Linked DNA regions of Drosophila melanogaster. The protein of the gene in region 1 purifies or fractionates together with the protein of each later gene. This does not show direct contact. Each region holds a gene or a part of one and is shown in the gene's direction. Other genes may lie near its edges.

Region 1 (5,037 bases):
TGCTCCGCTGGGCAATCAAACTAATCGCCAATTCATATTATTATTAAGGTAACTAACCCAGATTAGAACAGACACTCGAACACACGCACACACCAGCCACCAACACCACTTGGCACATCCTAGTCATATCATCAACTTCCATCGCTCATCTCCACTTCCATTTCTTTATCCACTGGTCATGTTTCGTTTTCATTTGCTTGAAAAGATCCAGGCGAGATCCTCCTTTATCCACAACACCGTCACCTCATCTCGATTATATATACATATAAATATATATATATATGTTCTGAAATATATATTTCCCAACTCGGAGCCACCTTATTTATCATTGTACTAACCCCAAATCCTTGGAAGGATTTAAACCCACTTGAAATAAAGATATACAGTCGATTAATCTCGTTCTACACATAATTGCAGGCTCCACGGCTCTGGGCTTCTACACGCCCATGAAGGGCACGGCGATGGACAACCTATTCCAGCTGGGTGTCACCCGATACGCCCTGCCCGAGAGCAGCAGCAGTGGGAGCAGCAATGGCAGCCACAGTCCAGGCAGCAACGGGAGCAGTCCAGCCGGAGCTGCGGGCAGCCGGTTGATGTTCAACGGGAATGGCAGCATTATGGGCATCGGCGAGGGACTGATCAAGGAGGGCGACTTGGCGGCAACGGAAGCAGGACCTGGAACTGCAGATGGAGCAGGTGCCTCCAAGAAGGGTTCAGCTGTGGACGAGGATGATTACCATCTGACGGCGACGCCGGGCGCCGAAGTTGTGTACAGCGAGGGTACACAGAAAACGGATTTGCTATATTAGGTCGTCCTGCCAGCCAAAAAACCGGAGCGTCTAGCTCTTTTTCTACCGGTTTCCACCAAACTCCAAACCTTCCGAGCATAACAACCTACCACATCCTGATCGTTCCCCTAATTGAAAAGCGTGCACTTAGGTGAAATATCAACTTCGGTTAGACGCGAAAACAGTAACGAAGGAAAGAAAAATAAAAACAACAAGGCAACGTAAACCAAGTATGGCAAGAAATCCATAAAGATACGTATATAAATAGATATTATTTGTAAGTTTGTAAGCCTAGAGATCCGATGTGTATGTGTACAACAGCAAGCGTGTGTGTCTGTCTTCTTTATAAATATATATATATGGTTTTTTTTTTTTGATAAATTAATAATTATATTATTGTAATGTATCTACATACGGCACTGAATGAACAACTTTGCTGCTGCAATTGTATTTGTATTTGTATTGTGTATTCCATTTACGGCATTTTGATAGTAAATATACAACAACAACAAATCAACGTATTTCCGACTGCATCCCGAAGGTTACTGAAACCTTAATCCACGAAGTACGCGACGAGCGGTTAGTCCCGCCCGAGTATTAACTTAATGGATTCTAACGATCCGATCTTGTGACCCATCATCATCCCTTTTCGCGACCCTTCCAAAACGAAAATGAAGAACATTCTAAGCTCCGCTTGCCCATTCAGCGGAAGAAAGCAAAGGAAAATGTAACATTTGCCTCATAATTATTATATACATTTAGCGCTTATTGAATATTTTTTACAATTGTATTCCGTAAATAAATATAAAATACATCAACATCTAGTCGCGTGTTTTAAGTTAAAGGAAGTTAAGGCCAAAGCAAAATGTTAGCAACAGTTTTTGTTAAAAGTTAACATATATAATAATGGTAATTTAAATATTCAAATCTATGAAGTGACTTATTTTATAAGTCCACTTATGTTTGTTATATTTAATTGGTATTTAGAAAAGGATTCATTTTAAATTAACACCGTTGAGGGTTCAATTTTGGTAGTGCGTCTTTGCTAACCATGCCGAGTGGGATCAAGTCCTTGCTAAGTTAGGATGTTGTCTTAGCTAACTGTGCCATCCCTGGTCGGGGTGTGTCTTAGCTAACAATTACGTGTCGATAGATATAATGCTATCGATATGACAGAGTGTCGGGAACAATCGATAGCATTACTTCGATATCGGTACTAGTGCCACCTCCAGTTTTGTGATTGTGTCAAAAATACAGGGTTTTATTGTTGCACTAGCAATTTAATCCGAGGAATATAAATTTTGTGTGGAGTTATGTTCGAGACGTCGTTGCCAGCGATTCAAGAGGCGAGCGGTCACACGTGTATGTGTTTCACTGGCGGTGCGGGCGCCAACTCCGCCAAAAAGCGTACTACTTTTAACCTTAGTTGACATTGAAATGTACCCGCTTAGTTGGATGTCCACGATGGTGCGTGTGTGTGCGTATATGTGTGCTATGCGGCGTCTGTGTGCGCGAGTGTGTGTGTGGGATTGCAAAGGAGGATGGGAGAAACGAGAGCAGAGCAAAAACAAAAACAAAAGGAACCTGCTGCACATAGTCGGTGCATGCGAGCGTGCTTATGTGTGTGTGCGTGCGTGCTAGCAAAACAACTGCAAGAAATCAGCAACAGTAGTAGAAGAAGAGAAGCTGTATCACTGATAAGGAGGCTAAACAACAACAAAAACAGCAACGATAATGTGCACCCTTTCGAAATGCAAACAAAACAAAGCGTTGTAGTTGTGTAATCATTCGTTGTGAACACACCACACACACACACACACACAACACTTGTTTAATAATACATTTTAATTCTATTATTTTTGATTTAATTTTTGCCTGTTATTCAAATCGATCTGTGTTTTTGCAGTTGGCATTCGTTATTAATTAAATCAGCCGCCAACAGCTGAGCGAGAGAGCAATCGAGAGCGACAGGAGAGGATCCACTTCCAATCGAATCGGGTGGAATCGAATAGCAGGGGCTTGGTAATTAAAAGGAAGACCGAACTGAACTGAACTAAACTGAAACGGAACGAAGCGAAGCGAAGCGCGGCGAGGCGGCAAGAAACGAAAAGAAAAGAACGAAAGTCGGCAGAGTCGGAAAGTCGGCAAGTCTGATTGTCGGCAAAGTCGCAAAGTCGGAGAGTCACAGTCTCAATCGCAGTCGGCGAGAGATTCCACTCGTGTCGCACGTCCGTTCGTTTCCACATTGTCGTTATAAAAATAGCAACGCCTTAAACGATCGCATCAACCTCATCAACAGAACACCACCAGAAATCACCGCCCCCTCCTACGCCTCAATCGCCATCGCCACCGCATCCCATCCCCATCATCTTCATTAGCAGGCAGCCTGACAGAGTAACTAACTGATCTTGATTGCGACCATAATCACCGTCATCATCATGTAATCCTTCACTAACCAATTGATTTCCGCTCGTCCACCAAATAGATTCCAAACTGCCGTTTCGGCAGCCGGCAAGATTTCACGAAATCTAATGGCCAAGGACGAGGAGGATGATCTGCTGCCCGACAAGGATGCGGCCAAGGGCTTCTATGCCAAATACGAGCCCAAGGAGATTCTGGGCAGGTAAGAATCGAACTACACTTGCCGTGATCTCAAACCTCTTATTAAATCCTTTTAAATTCAGTTGAAGTATTATTGATCCTGCACTTAACCATTCAAATACGTTTCTTTCTATTTACTTTGCGTAGTTAATTTTGCAAATTTAAGATCATAGAAACATTGATACTTGTATCCTCAGAAATCACTAGAACGTCCAAATATTGATTGTTTCTGCTTTCCCAACCTCTTACTGCCAAGTCTGCAGTAATGCAGTTTGGGCTAAATGGTGCCAAGTGAGTCAGCCTCATCAAGCTTCCATGGCATGGAGCAATGGCATGGGCTGCTTTTCAAGCGGCGCCTGTCTGCCGGCCTACTCACGCCACAACGAAGATCAGAATTTGCCAAGCAAATAGCAGAGACTAAGCGAAAACAAGGGCTAATTACATATTACAATTCTAGGGATTAGAGATTAGATAAATACCCGATCATGGCAATGTCAAGTGCAGCAGAAGCAGAGCTCTTTATCTACATGCAATGTTTGTCTTACAGGGGCATCAGTTCGACCGTGAGGCGATGTATCGAAAAGGAGACGGGCAAGGAGTTTGCCGCCAAGATCATCGACTTGGGCGCCACCACAGAGTCAGGCGAGACGAATCCATATCACATGCTGGAAGCAACCAGACAAGAAATCTCAATACTGCGCCAGGTCATGGGGCATCCCTACATAAGTTAGTCTCACATAGCACCCACATGTACTTAATTCCACCACTAACCATCTACATTATCGTGCACAGTTGATCTGCAGGATGTGTTCGAGTCAGATGCATTTGTTTTCCTCGTCTTCGAGCTGTGTCCCAAAGGTGAACTCTTCGACTATCTGACCTCTGTGGTGACGCTATCCGAGAAGAAGACGCGCACCATTATGCGACAAATCTTTGAGGGCGTCGAGTACATACACGCGAAGAGCATTGTCCATCGGGATCTTAAGCCCGAGAATATCTTGCTGGACGAGAACCACAACGTTAAGATCACGGATTTTGGCTTCGCCAAGCAGTTGCAAGAGGGCGAGAAACTTACAAGTAATTATAACACAGCATCCTTCTGTATTCGCTAAGCTAAACTATATGTACTTTCCCCCTATTAGATCTGTGCGGAACGCCGGGTTATTTGGCTCCCGAAACGCTCAAGTGCAACATGTTCGAGGGATCCCCCGGCTACTCGCAGGAAGTCGACATGTAAGAGCGAATAAACTAGCCACTTATTATTACACCTTTTTTTGGCTCACTTAAATTATAGAAGCAATTTAAGCACAAAAAGTATCACATTTATTGTAATACGAATTGTCTGCTCAAATTACTAAATTGCTTATGTTAACAGCTAATTTTATTATTAAAAATTTTTGCTTACATAAAAAAAGAAAGGTCTAAACTTTTGTATCGATATTAGACCCGTTTTCCTTTTTTTTTTGTTTTATAGACGCAAATTTTGCTGATACATTTCATTAACTAGTGTTCCTCGTGTCAGGCGATTTGTTTTGATCTTTAGGTGTGCATTTTAATGAATGAGTCAGAAGCAGAAAGGCATAATAATCTGAAATCTGAGTAGTTCCGATACCGACGTCTATATTTCTTCGGTTCAGCAAAACGTAGG
Region 2 (6,711 bases), about 10 Mb from region 1:
CGGGCAGTTTCAACGGGTACAACGGACTGGCAGTGGCGGGCACAGTGTGCAGCGCCTTGAACAGCAGCGGATCCGGAGCCGGAAGCGGCGGGAGCAGTGCCAACAACAGCGGCGTGGGCCTGGGGATCGGCGGGGCACACACGTCGGGCAGCGGAGGAAGTGGCAGCGGTGGGACGAGGAGCCAGCACCAGGAGCTGATGAATTCGCTGAGGATCGAGGAGAGCAAGCGGAAAATCGACCTGATCAACGCCCAAATCGAATACTGGCAGACGCTCACCCGCAAGCTGAACAGTCAGGCGAATCACATGCCCAATCCTGCGTGCCCGTGCCACTTCCCTGGAGCCAGTGTGCTCTCGCCCGTCGCCGTGACCGCCGCTAGTGCCTCATCGTCCGCTTCCGCCAATGTGTTGCAGACGCAGGCCAGCACCAGCTAGTCCGCAGCCAAGGGGCGGTTCGAACTAGTCGGGGGTCCTGCGGGCGAAAGCGAAAGCGACAGCGACATCATCTCGATAGTGGACATAGATGATGGGCGGTCTAGGGAGGACGAGCAGTCGGAGGACGATGGCGAGAACCGTGACCAGGCCATAACGGACCTGACGCTACCCGACGAAGACGAGGAAGACGATGTAGACGAAGATGACTCACAGGATGCCTTGGTCAGGGATGTTGGCGTGGTGGGCGGCCTGTCGTCGCCAGATACACCGCCCCACTCCTCTCCGCCGCCAGCGAAGCGCTCGAAGCGCCAGGAAGTCACCTCCGAGCTCCTGAGGCAGCTGGCCCTGCAGCAGAATCAGGATCCCCAGGAGGGGTGCTAGTATTTTGTCTAGTTTGCTAATTTTATACTTGCTACCATGGATTGACGCAACCACTTTGTAACATTAATTTTACCATATATATTTATTTACGCCCAGTTTGAGTGCCAAAACAGAAACCAAGATTGGGGCCTTGCCATCGAAAATGCTTGCCAAAGGACCTGCTGAAATAACCGGTCATAACCACTCGCGACCCACTATTTATTTGCCAGCCTAACTGAAACATAGCGATTCATCTCATTTTAAAATGTCTTGCGTCGCCTATTTTTTTATTGCCTTTTTTTTTCTATACATGTAACGTGTTTATTTTTAAGTTTTCCTACGAGCTGCTACCAAAAAGAATAAGAAGAAGAAGGTGACTATCTTGAATGTACATTTACTTTACAAAACTAGACCTTACTTACTTACTTAATTAGAGATCGAGCAGCTAAGAACGCATGAAAATGAAATGTACAAATGTGGTTCCTAATCTAGTCCCTAAAGTCAAAAGTGAAGAACGAAAGAGCTACAGAAAAGAAATCGAAATTGTTACGCCTAGCCGAGAACTTGTGTATTATTTTTTTATATCGCTTAGATTGTTCCCCCGAGGAAAGCATTGAAGGAACTGTAGCTAATTTATGTACTTAATGAACCAGTGAAACCAAACCAATGATTTGAAATGGTGTAAAGAGAAGAAACTTGCTAGTCGCCGCTGCATAACTGTGTAAATGTGGCACACAAACCATTTAGTTAGTGTTAGTGCTACTGTACGTGTAAAATACAATTAATTGCCTATCCAGACCCAGTAACCACAATTTACAAGGAAGCACACACCAAACGAAACTGAAAACCAAGAAAACAAAACTATTTATACAATTTTGTAAACAAGAACTTATTAATAAAACAATGAATTTACTTTGTGGCCCAGCCTGTTGACTTTTGGATAGTAAAATTTCGTTTAAGGCTTAACATTTTGGCACTTACGCTCATTTTGCTCGCTTAAGCTGCTCTTCATTTGGCGCCAAACGAATTGGCGTTGCCCAACACTGACCAGCCAGCACAAAGCGCTACCAGACTGCGCAACCGACTGCTCATCTGGGAACTGGTTCGCACATATGGGCGCCCGCGAACCAGTTATTCGTTACTCATCAGTTCCAGTTCGGTTCAGCAAAAATTGTGCAAATAAATTGCGGAAAGTCGGATTGTTTATGTGGGAATCGGCAGCGAAAAGCGACTCGGCGGCAGTAACAACTAGAGTGAATGAAGTGAGCACTGCCACTCCCACGCACACTACTGTGCAGTCTGTGTGCGCCAACTGTGAATTGCGAAGTGCGAATTCCGTACTTCGGATTGCGGATTCCCCCCCTCCCTTAAAGCACTTGGAAAACCAACACCTGGCGCACGTACACGCACACGCACACTTGTCCTGCTAGCGAAAGAAAAATCCCTGTCAGCTGGTGCAGCGATTCCCGAAGCAACTCCGAGGAGCAGGACACCGTGGAAAGAGGCGACAACTGAAGCTGGTCTTCAGTGAACACAGAGTCCAGTGAGCAAGTGTGAGCAAGTAAACAAGTGATACAGCGCTTGGCAGGAGTCACAGATTATCTGAGCGACCACCTGGATGCCCGGCTTTCACCTCAATGAGATGGGTGAAATGGTCCTGGACGCCATCGACGACATCGGCGTGGTCGATGTGTACGACTTGGCCTCCGACATTGGCAAGGAGTACGAGCGGATCATGGACCGCTTCGGCACGGACGCCGTCAGCGGGCTGATGCCCAAGATCATCAACACCCTGGAGCTGTTGGAGGCGCTGGCCACGAAGAACGAGCGCGAGAACGCCACCATCCAGGAGCTGCGCGATAAGGTGGCCCAGCTGGAGAGCGAGAAGCTGGAGAAGGCCGAGTTCCGGCGGCGGTTCGACAAGGAGCTGGAGCTGATCGAAGAGCAGTGGCGCAGCGAGACCAACGAGCTGGTCGATCTCGTCTCCTCGCTGCAAGACGAGAACAAGCGGCTGGTAAAGCAGACTCAGGATCTGCAGTCATCGTCCGCCCAGAGCTCCGGCCTGGGGGCCAGTCTCACCGAGAGCATTATCAGCATGACCAACCACGAGCTGCACAGCGCTCTTTCGGATACTCAAGTGCTGCAACGGCTGAAGGAGCAGATATACAAGCAGCGCGACGAGTTGAAGCACCGCGAGCGTGAGCTGCAGGACAAGTACAGCGAGCTGGAGCACGTGAGTGTCCTTAAGGATAGGTGCTCATATTCCCAGCTAACGTATTCTTAACTAACCCTTCCCAGCTCAATATCCAGGCGGAGCGTCTGAAGGCATCAGAGCGAGATACCCGGCGCCGCCACAAGCTGATGCAGGCCCAAGTGAAGACGCTGTGCGAGGAGCGCGCCGACTTTCTTGCCCAGCTGCAGGACCAGAGCCGGGAGATCAACCAACTGCGCAAGCGATTGGGCCTGGCCGAAAAGGAGAATGAGGATTTGGTGGCCTCGTACGACGATGGCCAGAACGATCCCAACCGGCCGCGGTACACCACGCGCGAGCTGAAAGAGTTGATTAGCGAGCGCGATGAGCTGCTGACCACCATCGACACCCTCAACGAGCAGCTGGCGGAGCTGAAGCCACCAAGCCAGGCGAAGGGCAAGCGGCAGCGTCACTTCTCCAGCTCCGACGATAGCGATGAGGACGACGATGGTCACGTGGCGGACAACGATGATGACGACGACGAGGAGGAGGCGGCTGCCGAGGCGAACGAGCTGGAGCCACCAGCGGCCGGAGAAACGTGAGTGAGCCCATTTCTGTTACATCCTTTAGTTTTGTGGTCCCTCACCAGAGAAAACAAGAATTTATGAACGACCGCTTGAGTCAAAGTGATTAACGAACAAGCATTTTCAGCCTGAGTCATTCTTTTGTTGTTGCTCAGTGCTAACAATATTCAAATAGACCCTATGATGCAAACGTTTAATTGGCAGGTGATTCAGAGCTTAAACGTATATATTTGCGTGTTTTTTCGCAAGGTCAGCAGGTAACTGGTAAATGGCACAATTGGGAGTCAAACAAATCGTTGGATTCGGATCTATATGTTGATTATTTTTGAGTTTTTATAGCTAATTACTATCCCTAGTTATGATTACTTAAGTACATACATAGTGCATCGCTTTTCAGGCCACCTGGACACGATGCGCCCGTGCAGGGCCCTTTGCCCTACGAGCCGGACGATGCGCCCTGGAAGAAGAGCTCCGAGTCGGGAATACGCAAATTGTAAGTGGCATTCAATCGGCGTAGAGCTCTCGATTCACTTTCTGCATTGTAGCTTCCGGAAGCTGTTCTCGGACCCGTCGGACGGCAGCAACACGTTCCCGAAACGTTCCTTGGCCACGCTCTCCAAGATGGCGCTGTCGGCCACGCCCGGTTCCGTTTCCGCCTCCGCAGCGGCGAAGTAAGCGCCCCTTAAAGCATCCGAGTTGGCGTGCATTTCACTTTTCGTTTGTTTTCTGTTTTTCCGTTTCCGTTCCATTCCGTTCCGTTCCGTTTGCACTGCCCCCCGCACCCCTGCATCTTGCATCCTAATTTATTATTTATTTTTTACTTTTACGTCTTACGATTACGTTTACATTTAGTTTAGGCAACAGCCTGTATCTGACCCTGTCCCTCGCCATTCACCTGCTCCGCCTGAGCTGTACATACATAGTTTACACACTCGATTGCTGTGCCCTCATAATTCTAAGTTGTTATGCAATTTTGTTTACGTAATACGCGTTTTATTCGTAACTCGTAACCCCTAACTGTACTGGATATATTTAATACGAATCCACTTTGTATTTTTCGTACCTTCGATTTATTCTAACTTGATTAACGACTACCACATAAGACTCCAAACATACCACAGCCCCCACATGTGCACGTGTTTCAAAAATCAAGATCGAGAACGAAAACGAGAACGAAAACGATATCGAGATTGTGCAAAGATTGCCGAGTGAGTTTTTAATGAATTTAGACAAAAACAAGCTTAGAAAGACAAACAGTCCTCCCAGGTGCAGATGCAGAGAAAACGATTCGGTGAGATGAGGAGACGAGACGAGGAGGACTCTGGTTCTGGGACCCCAGATTTTAGAAAGTCTAGGTAGAACGGGAAGATTTTGCTTCAATTATCCGTAGTGTAACTGTCCCTAAGACCCCTGCATCTATCTAGATCTTCGGCTATCGCCAGCCCGTATGAGTATTTTAGCACTCTCATAGCAGTTGCCCCAAGCGGCCTTATAAATATATTACAAATTTATCAAAATACGCAAACCTTAGAGCGAAAGAAACCTAAAAGTATATATAATTGATATATAATTAGCAAACGTTACAACCTTAGCGCATTGTTTGTTGACTTGAATTGAACTAACTAACGAAACCAATCTCAGCATAGTAGATTCCATTGATAGCATTCGATTGCACAAAGATGCCAAAAAGCGAAAATCTCCGCGTTACCCCATTGCCGGCCGGCCAGTCTAAATCAAGGAATGTTTTAGCCAAGAGTTTTACCATAGACTTAGCCACTGACCAGCTCGAATTGTTGTTACCGCACCCAGACGACTTCGCCCAGAGCCCCCACTCCACTTGAAGCCCAGTGATTTCGAGGAGATCTCAGTCCGATCCTCGTTCATAGCTAGTATCCATGAGAGAGACGCCCATGTAGTGCAATTACCAATATGGTGTCACTTCCCGCTCCCCTTCCACTCACAAGCACAAAGCGAGGAAACTCCGTTTACATATCAGCTCCATCGCTATCGTCGATGCGAACGTGCCAAAGACTAATGGTCAGACCCTATGCCCCCATTATTCGCAACTCCCCCCCACTACCCACACCACGCACCGAACACCCAGCCCACAACACCCGACTTACCAATCTCAATTAACCCATCTCGTTTCGAACACAACAAAGAGTGGCAACTGAACTTTTATAAAATTGAACACGAGCGCGCAATGGCATCGATATGAAAAAGTGGACTAACGTTGAGTGGGTGAAGACCACGAAAAGAAGATGGAGAGAAATTGAGTATTTGGTGAATTAATGTTAACTAAATTTATATACACATATACACATGCATTATACATAATATACTTTACTATATACTATGTAATACCGTATTATATGGAACTATGACTAACCAAAAAGGCAACAAGGCAACAATTATACAAAATTCAAAGCGTACCAGGGTGGCACTTGGACCATGGACTGCAGGAGCGACCAGAGCGATAGCGAGCATCGGATCGGATCGGATTGGATCGCATCATGGTGAACCGCATCAGAGGGCGACGCCTCCGCATCCGGGTATCATCTGCTCACCCCTGTACGTACATCAAATTTATGAGTGGCTTCCTTTGAGCGACCACCAAAATAAACTTATGAACCGTGGAGTGGATTTCGAATGAATGATTTGGGTTGGCGGCAAGTGGAGCACTCGCTGTGCGGAACCTAAGGTGTTTATTTCATTATTTAACATTACTTATAAGTTCGTTTTTAATTTGGCTTATTTTCGATTGCTTTCAAAATTATTCCCAAGGTATTGTAAGAAACAAGTCGAGATCGGCAGAGAGTTCAAGATCATTGTCATCATCGTGTGTTTCATCGTCAGAAACGAAGGATGTTTGAAGACCATCTTCAAGTTCAAGTATTTTCACGTATCATAACATTTCATATCAAGCCTTAAAGGTTAGTAGCGACTTCAATTTGCCCATAAACACATTTCGGGGTGCTCTAGTCATTGGAGTTCTGGCTTCCATGTCGCCCGAGCCTGTAGCCTCTAGCTACTGATATCCTTTGCACAAGGACAGTCGGTGGGGTTGTATTTCGATCGTGCTTTTGGTACTAAGAAAAGGGGGTGGATGTCGAACAAGGCTGATTGCGTAACACCTGGCAGT
Region 3 (5,027 bases), on another chromosome or scaffold:
AGAGCAGAAAAAATATTTAATTGATAAATTCAGCAACGATAGCTTTACTGGCTGATTTAAGTGGATACAATTAAAACTAGTTTCTCTTTCTCTATTTGCGCAGTTCTTTCGATTTATTTGTTATAATTAAATTAATATGATTTATTTTAACCGATTTATTTGCACACAAAAAATAGTGTAAAAATTTTTTAAATATTGAAAAAAAAAAAACGTATAAACGCTAGTATTTCGCAGCTTTTTAAATTTGCCTTTAAATTGAGCTTCTGATTAATAGCGCCTGTTTTTTATGCCGGCAAAGTCCTTCCTTTTTTGTGTTAAAGATATCCTCTTCCATTCTCATCTGGTGTTTTCGATGTTTCTCCCTTAGGCTTTTTGGCTCATCTTAACTCACAGCGTTCCTTTTTAGTTTCACTGTCTCCATTCGTTTTGCCTTCCATAAATAAAATAAATGTAGGTGAAAATATACATAAATAATGGGCACAAGCGCGGCTTTTTTTATGAAGTGTTTGAATGTGCGAGTGTCAACCCAGGGCACTTGAAAGATGGTGGGGAGGGGGGCTTGTGATGGGGGCGACGTCTGTGAAAATTATAAAACAGACGACGCAGCCATTCTGGCGGGGCAAAGATATTATGGCCTCTGAAGGCTGAGAAGGGGACCCCTGCCATGTAGGCGTGTGTAAATAGCAAAAACCTAGTCGGGCGTACACAAGCCAAGTCATCATGGAAAATGGCTAAACAGGCAAAAGAATAAGGGCCAAAGAAGATAGAAAGATAACAGAGTGGAAGGCATGACAAATACGTTTTCTCTGCCTTTTTTTTATGGCATATACATATATGCCCCGAGGTAGTGGGACGTATAAAGTTTGACCTCCAATCAATAAATCACATTAAAAGGGGATCTTTCAAGAAATGAAGAGAATGACAATGGACAAAGATGGCCAATAACTGACCCATAATTGTTCATTGTCACGTCATTGTCCGCGTCAGTTGCTCAAGGCACATGAGAATAGTATCCAGCAAGAAATGTATTTATTCTTGGCCTCTTTTTCGTTCTTTTCCGCTAATTATTGTGTAATATTAATCTTATTAATAAATAACAAGGAATCATAGTATCCATATACTAAGAAACATCTCTCTAATAGCTAAGAAGTATCCTTTTCTTGTCACCTAGATCTCGCTTTTCTCCGCAAGCTAGATATACAGCCCAAGTATCCTTAATAAACACCGCACCGATAAATGACTGTTACTCATAGTATTCACCTAGAAAGGATGATGTACTTTTCCCCGAAATGAACACTTCGCCATTAAATGGGTGAGGAGTATCCTTTTTGTATCACTTGGCTCTGGATTTTCGCCGCTTTTCTCTCTTCATTTTCTTCTGGGCCAGTCAGGTCTCATCATCCGCTTGCGCTTTTTTCTCAGCTTTTGGCTTGATTTCCTTTTTTGTCGCTACAGCCAGAGTCCTTTTGCTCCGCGCTTGCCTTTTACTAGCCCAGACTGCGCCCACAAAGACGTGTACATATATGTGTTTTTCCAGCTGCCAAAAGGCTGCGCTTGGCTTCTTCGCAGCCAGTGTTTTGTTTTTGGCTTCGTCAGCCAACTTTAGCTATTGACAGACCTTGCCACCTCGCGTCCATGTCCTTGCTGGAAAACATTTCGCTTTCAGCGCTCATTTTGCAGGATGTCGGGAAAGTGATGTAAAAAATATACACAACAATTTCAAGATATCTTCTGTGGCCTATACTGCGTGCCCAAAAGCCATAATTATCACGCGTTCACATGGCGTATACGAGATTTTGCTGTTTCGCGTTTAAACTCTTAACCGAAATTTATGCTTTCGCTGTTGCTAATTGTACATTTTGTTGCTCTTGCTGTTTATAATGTAAAATTTATTGTGTTTGTGCATGTTTATTATCGCCACGCCGTTACGCGCCCTCATATGGATTTGTAACACGCCCCCCTACACCCCCTCTTTAAACATCACTGTGCATTTATGTTTTACAGCGTCTGCAAAAAATATTATCAAAAGTAATAAATGAATAACAAAATACAAAACAAACGCCATCAATAATTCATGGGAAAAAAAACAACACAAACAGAAATAACCAAAAATAAAAGCTTGCGGCGCGTCGTTCTTTAAATATTTTATAAATTAATTCTGCAAACAGCGTAAGCGAAATTAAAAAATACAACAAAAACATCAGGAATTAATGTAGTGCCTAATGCAATGTGTAATAAAACCGTGTAGACCAGGAGGTGCGCCAGATCATTAAATACCAGCAAACACTGTTAGGTGAAAAAAAAAAAAAAATTATGAAATACAAATTTATATTTATTATTGAATAAATATGCAGAGTAAATATTACATATGCTAACCGTGAAAACAAATTGAATTATACAGCAAATAAAACAACAAATACTTTTCGTCGTGTTTTCGAATGTTTGGCTATTAAAGCGCTTACAGCTTAATTGGGCGTTACAAAGTGGTAAGTAAAAAAATAAACACTTTTGATAAACAATTATTTTTGAAAATATAAATTATTAAAATGATTTTAGTCAAAAGTTTCATAGAATAAGAAGATGCTTTACATATTCATAGTGTTATATTTTGATATATGTCCGTTTCTCTTTTTATTTTTTTAGCCCACATTAATCAAACGACTATCTCAGTAAATTTGCACAGTATTATTATAGTTTAATTCATCGCACAAAAGACTCCTTAATCTTTCATGCAGCGATCTTTTAATATCCTCTAACTATTATCAAAACATATCAAAAATTGTAATTAAGATACCATTGCATTTCCCTTGGTAAATATATCACAGTTTTTTCTAATTTAAACACACGTACACAACGTCGTTCATGGCTTTATCAGCCAACTTTGCTGATTCAAAGATATCTGTCGACCCTCATCCATCAACAAAAACCCAACCACAAATGTCACATGCAAATTCGGTTCGCCTTGTAACGGAAGTGCAAGCAAAAAATAGCGAAAGATTTTTATACATAACTTTTTATGCTACTCATTGTTGGGAGCAGAAACTTCAACCTCCTTCCAACGGTTTGAGGTGGTGCTTGCTGCACTTTTGCGGCGAGGTGAGCTGTACGGGTGTGTGCACGTTTTTGCATTTGCACCACTTTATTTCAATTTTATTCGCCATTTTCTTCGTTTGCGTGGTACATTTCCTGGGGACGAGACGCAGCAGTGACTTTTGCTCGGCAGCTGACTCGACTCCACTTTCCGTTTACCCTGGGCTGCCCTCCTCATTACCCTCTTTACATTTCTAATTACACGCTCATTTTAAACTTGAAACATTTGCAAACGGATGCCTGGGTCTGGAGGAGTCTGCGATTTTCAGTAACAATTTTCCATTTCCCATGCCATGAGGCTGCAAAAATGTTGGGTCACAAACGTAATAGACCAGATTTTCCTGTGACTGCTAAAGAAACCTAGCTGGCCGACCACAAATGTCTGGCATCTAGGGCTTGATTTGGAGACAAGTCTTGCATTTGACAATTTTCTTTCATTTTGGGGCCTGAAAACATTTTCCTACAATGTTCTCAATATATTCCACTATTTTCGAGTTCATTTTAAGACCAATTGATATTACTAGTAGTATTTAATCTTAAATGTTCGCTTAGGGAATAGTAATTTTTAATTGCCGTTTTTATACTTAGAACACAAAAAGTAGACACTGTAATTTGCGAACCCTGGACATACCAAACGCGTTTTCGTTTTGTTAAGTTACTAAAAAATTAAAACAATGCTGCATGTCCATTTTGCATGTGAGGAAACATTTGGCGCGCAAGTAAATGTGCATGTGGGTGAGATGGTTTTTGCCGTTTCTAGACTGCTCTTTGTTTGAGTTGTGTTTTAATTTCCATATTACGTGCTGGCCAGAGATTTATCAATGCGATTTATATAAGCCATAATTTCTCCATTTCACCCAGAAGTAAGTTAGTAAATTACTGCAATCGCTTGCAACATCAATGGGTAAAATTTAACAGCAATAACCTTACATAAGATTTCACTATTTTCCTTTTTTTATAATAGTTTGAAAAATTTATATTATTAATTGTTTAATTAGAAATAGAATAAGTATGGATTAGAAAGTAATAATGAAGTGAAAGGAAGCGGCGTTGACTTACGTTGCCATTTGACCTTTTCAGGCCCCTTGAAGGGCAATTCTAACACACTGTCTCTCTCACAGGAAATGTTTATAACATGTCCTCCTTTGACAACTTATTCAATGAAAAGTTTCAAATAGTAGCTTATGAATAGTAAAAGAAAGATTATGAAATCTATTGGTAAGCGTTTAAAATGTAATTGAAATATTGCTCATACGCAGCATGTGCCCATTTATTGAAACTGGAAAGAATGCCAAGTTGGTTCATACCCAGTTGGCCCAATCAGGCCAATTCAATGACATAAATCTTAAGGCAATAAAGCAAAGAATGTCGCAGCATGAGACTATTATATTGTGCATACTGAGCTGGTAAAGCAAATCTCGTAAATGTACTAATATAAAATTGGTATTAATGGGCTGTCGCCTTAGGTGAAATTACCTTTAAGAATAATTGTATAAACAAGCAAGGGGATAGGAAGTTTAATAAGAAAGTATAAACTTTATAATTGAGAAAACTATTTAAGCCTATTTAAGCTTTTTTTATCTAACCTTTATCTCAACTTTTTCCGTTCTATGGTTCTACTTTTGCGTCTTTAAATTTAGCAATTGCCGCACTTGTAGGAAAGTTTCAATTATAAGTCAGTGTGCCAAAAATTGTTTCACAAACTCTAATTAATTTATAGTGCTTCACAACTCGTAGCTTAAATGGTGCAGTTGATAAATTGGCGAGATAAAATTATAATAATGCTGATGTGGAAATAAAATATGCAAAATACTTATTGTACAACTCGTTCCTATTTAATGATATCTTTTCTCAGTTACTATTAAATATGTTAATCTGCGCAAAGCGGCACTAAAAAAAATACACCAACACGCAGGTAAAACTGAAAATACCTTTAA
Region 4 (3,869 bases), on another chromosome or scaffold:
TCGTCATCATCAACAACTGTCAGCTCAGCTTCCCGTTCACCCGCCTCGTTGTCGGTGATGGTGGCTAGTCGGTGCTCCAGAAATCCCTCCAGCAAAGCGTACGTGCGAGTCAGCTCATCCATGGCTTCAATTGCCGAGTTGAGGCGAGTTTTCAGCGGTTCGATGGTGCCCCGATCCGCCCGATAGGGCTGGCACTTGGAGCAAGAGTGCTTACCCAGTTCGCAAACGGGCAGATCCTTGGCCTCTCTCCTCTCGAATTTAGGGGAGGCGGAGAGATTGCGGGCACGGGAGGCCACCGCCGGAAACTGGAAAATGTTCTCTTCCGTGCGACCGCACATCGCCGGCGGAGCGGTGGGCAAGGACTCATAGTGCAGGACATTCTGCCGGGATCGCGTTCGTCGGGGTTTTGGCGGTGGATGCGGCGGCGGAGGTGGCTTGTCCCACTCCATCTCGATATCGCTCAATAGGAACTTGTTTGTTTACTCTGCCCGATTCGCCACTAAAAACGCACACAAGAAAAGAATATCCGAGAATTATCAAAATCGGGAGATTGTTTATAGAAGAGGAAGACCAATGTGGAACGTCCGCCGCCAAGCACACACACACACACAAACACACACACACATACAAACGAGTCCTAAAGTGTAACGATTAAGTCCGCGAAATGTAAACAATATTTTCGAAAATCCCATTTCAGCACGTTTTCCCACATGTGCGAAAGTTTTGAATCTTTCCCAAAAATATGCACGCGTGTGGTCACTTAACCGAAACGGAGAACCGATTCGGAATGCACTGTGTTATTGTGTTTTGGGTCTTGATTACGCTTTTGGCTCAACAACTGGATGCCATCGTGCGTCGGGAGGCCCGCCGAAGAACAAATAAAAGCACGCCGCAAACCAAACTATTTATAAAACGCTGACACTCTTTTGTTTGCCTCCCCATGGCGATCGCACTACGCCACCACACACACCCAATGTGCCGCTGGCCCCCTTCTCGATTCCCCATCGCCAAGTGCGCAACACTTCCTTTATTCCACTTTTAGGTTACACGCAATTAATATTTCCAATTTATGCGAAAGTGCACGCACTCGCGAAAGAAATGTGCTGGATGGATGGATGGACGGACGTGGACCGGTGGATCAGTGGGTGGGTGGGTGAATGGGTGGATGGCTGGTGCTGGGATCAGATCATGTGTATCTGAAGTCGGCGGCCCCCATTACTTTCGCCACTTTCCGAACGTTATATCGAAACTGTTGCCACACATTGAATACACACATTTTTCTTTTCTTCGCTCGACTTTTCTTCCTGGCTGCGCTTCTTTTGTTTAATGGGTTTATGCGCAAGGTTGTCGGTCTATTTTTGGTGTTTTGTTGAAAGGAAAAACAATAACAAATTATTACTTGCACTTTTCCTACTTGCACACTCGGTCGTCCGACCCGCCGCGGAATTTTCATCGGCCACTCGCTCGCTGTCTCTTTCTCTCTCCCTCACGGATACTCGCGATTTTCCGCGACTTTGAAATTCCGTATACGTCCGTTCCGTTCGTCGGTCGAAGCTATTCTGAGCGGTACGGCGCTTTTGAACACATCGGAAAAGTTGAAAATTTTGAGATTTATTTATAGAGAGAACGGGCAGTGTTTTGATCTCTTTGCTGATTTCCAAAGGTCTCTTTGAATATAATTAATCAATGGGTTAATCAGCCCTATAGTGGATTTCTTATTGAAAAATAATAATTAAAATTCAATCACTATGTAATTAAATGTATTTTTACAATTTATGAGATAAAAATTGGGTGTACAGGTTCATACCCAATTTCTAACTCATAAATTATTATTCGAATAAACGCACCTCAAAATAGTTTTTGAAAAAGCCCGTTAAAAACATTGACTTCAATTCGTGCTATTACTATTAGCCAAGTTTACAACCATGGTTCGTGGTCAGGCTTTTATCAGCTACAGTGTGGTAAACAGTAGTTTTCCGACGAAGAGTTGGCAGTTCTGGCCGGCGAGGTTATGCAAAGCGAGAGGTTTGCATTCCAGTAAATAGTAATATTTCTGAAAGAAATGCAGTCCATTCTGTCTTCAATGAGGGCACTGGCCCTGCGCCAGAGCACGGTGGAGCCCCTCCGCCTGCTGCATCTTTCCGCCGTGAGCGAGGCGGCCCGTAAAGGAACTCGGGAGAAGGCCCGCAAGAAGAAAGTCAAGGTGGAAGTGAAGAAGGTTGGATTCATCCCGCACAACCAGCGCAACAAGAAGTAGGTTGTCAGCTCGATGTCCATAACACCGGATTTACTATCGTTCTTCTCTAGAATCAATGTGAAACGGGCGGACAAACATGTGGATGACTCCTGGAAACAGGTGCCCAAAGATGACTGCTATGTGGGGCGCTACTACCGCTGGCCAGTGTACTCGGTGCAGGAAGCTATCCAGTGCCATCGGGAGACGCATCATCCCAGCATGTACAACGTACCCAATGCTCCCCTCAATTTGGATATTGAACTCAACATGCAGGCGGAGAAGATCACACGTTTTGTGGATAACTTCCAGCGCATGGCCATGATTCCACACAAGTTTGACCACGGCGAGGAGCGGAAGATCATAGTTTTCACCAAGGGAAATGTGAGTGCAGCTTCTTAGTACAAAATCATAAAATAACATCTTGAAATTTATTTCCAGAATGAAGTCCTGGAGGCCAGGGAAGCTGGCGCCTCGCTAGTCGGCGGCGTGGAGCTCATTAAGGATATTACCAGCGGCGAGCTGCTGCTCTCCGACTACCAGTACGTCATTGCCCATCCGAATATACTGGCCGAGCTGGTGGCCCTGCGAGGCCTGATGAAACGCAAGTTCCCAAATCCAAAGAGCGAGACGCTGGGCACCAACCTGGCCGAGATGATCGTCAAATTCTCCAGCGGCATTAGTTACAGTGCAGCCAAGGATGAGTACCAGCAAAACTTTGGCCTGATCACCGCCAGTGTGGGCACTTTGGACATGGATGTCCAGAAGCTTGAGGAGAACATCAAGTTCCTACTGCAGGATATTAACACTATGAGGCCCAAGCGCGAGGGACGTTTCATTACACGTGTCCTGCTGAAGAGCCCGCCAAGCAGTGAGCAGCTGAAAATCGATCCCTTTGTCTACGTTCCAGAGATGTGGGACAAGAGCACGGCGAAGGTGAAAAGGGATGGGGCCAAGAAGCAGACAGAGCCGGCGGAACCCCAAGAAGCAGTTGCCTCCAATTAGTTAAAACAGAAGCCTATGTATTTTTGTTGATGGATTGTTTGTGCATACTTTAAACTTACATCTCCTAGAGTCCTAAACAGTCTACTTTACTTTGGCAGCTTTTAATTGCATTCAGGCCTTCTGGGTGGCGGTGCTGCGTTGTTGGTGCTGGCGCATCATCTCCAGCTGCTTGACACGGGTGTAGGCGGCGCTGGCCACCAGGACCACCACATTGGAGGTCCACCAGAGAGCCGATCGAACGTCATGGTAGTACTGAGTGGCGATCACCGTTTGAGCGCAGGCCTTGGCCGTTCCCGAGATATTATGCGTCAGGGCGGATGTGACCTGAAATATCGATCGGGCTAGATAAGCGATTAACATGTGAATTGTTTGATTACCTTGATTTCCAGCGCAGTGACAAATCCAATGGCAAAGCCACAAAGGCCACTAAGCGTCATCGCGGCCCAGAACCAAGAAGCCCACAGGTGCGGATACGTGATAATGCTCTCCAGCTCGCCATTGATGATGATCAGGGGCAGGAAGAGCAACGTGGAGTAGAGATTATTGTAGTAGCTAAGCAGCCATACCTCCTGGTTGACATAACCCAATGATTTCTTCGTCTGAATAGAAAACATGGCCAAAGCAAGCGAAC

Evidence for each region.
Region 2: the proteins of PhKgamma (region 1) and Rilpl purify together in Drosophila melanogaster (affinity purification with mass spectrometry, with the first as the bait; one large-scale study listed by BioGRID). This does not show direct contact.
Region 3: the proteins of PhKgamma (region 1) and bru3 purify together in Drosophila melanogaster (affinity purification with mass spectrometry, with the first as the bait; one large-scale study listed by BioGRID). This does not show direct contact.
Region 4: the proteins of PhKgamma (region 1) and mRpL1 purify together in Drosophila melanogaster (affinity purification with mass spectrometry, with the first as the bait; one large-scale study listed by BioGRID). This does not show direct contact.

What each region holds. Positions count from the first base shown.
Region 1 is NC_004354.4:11,693,130-11,698,166, forward strand, and holds the start of PhKgamma (phosphorylase kinase gamma), read left to right. Parts: upstream 1-2,007; 5' UTR 2,008-2,150; exon of another isoform or gene 2,151-2,255; intron 2,256-2,694; 5' UTR 2,695-3,182; intron 3,183-3,273; 5' UTR 3,274-3,319; coding exon 3,320-3,411; intron 3,412-3,936; coding exon 3,937-4,115; intron 4,116-4,181; coding exon 4,182-4,466; intron 4,467-4,531; coding exon 4,532-4,622; intron 4,623-5,037.
Region 2 is NC_004354.4:1,391,132-1,397,842, forward strand, and holds Rilpl (Rab interacting lysosomal protein like), read left to right. Parts: upstream 1-1,922; 5' UTR 1,923-2,412; coding exon 2,413-3,027; intron 3,028-3,092; coding exon 3,093-3,583; intron 3,584-3,951; coding exon of another isoform or gene 3,952-3,966; coding exon 3,967-4,062; intron 4,063-4,114; coding exon 4,115-4,240; coding exon of another isoform or gene 4,241-4,244; exon of another isoform or gene 4,245-4,421; coding exon 4,422-4,554; 3' UTR 4,555-6,206; downstream 6,207-6,711. Other genes in the region: CG32813 (uncharacterized protein), read left to right, coding at 1-434. UniProt on the Drosophila melanogaster protein: May have a role in lysosome distribution by interacting with Arl8.
Region 3 is NT_037436.4:13,795,483-13,800,509, reverse strand, and holds the start of bru3 (bruno 3), read left to right. Parts: upstream 1-1,982; 5' UTR 1,983-2,486; intron 2,487-5,027.
Region 4 is NT_033777.3:8,299,450-8,303,318, forward strand, and holds mRpL1 (mitochondrial ribosomal protein L1), read left to right. Parts: upstream 1-1,990; 5' UTR 1,991-2,062; coding exon 2,063-2,253; intron 2,254-2,307; coding exon 2,308-2,617; intron 2,618-2,674; coding exon 2,675-3,238; 3' UTR 3,239-3,321; downstream 3,322-3,869. Other genes in the region: CG9626 (uncharacterized protein), read right to left, coding at 1-449; nac (neuronally altered carbohydrate), read right to left, coding at 3,350-3,562, 3,616-3,869.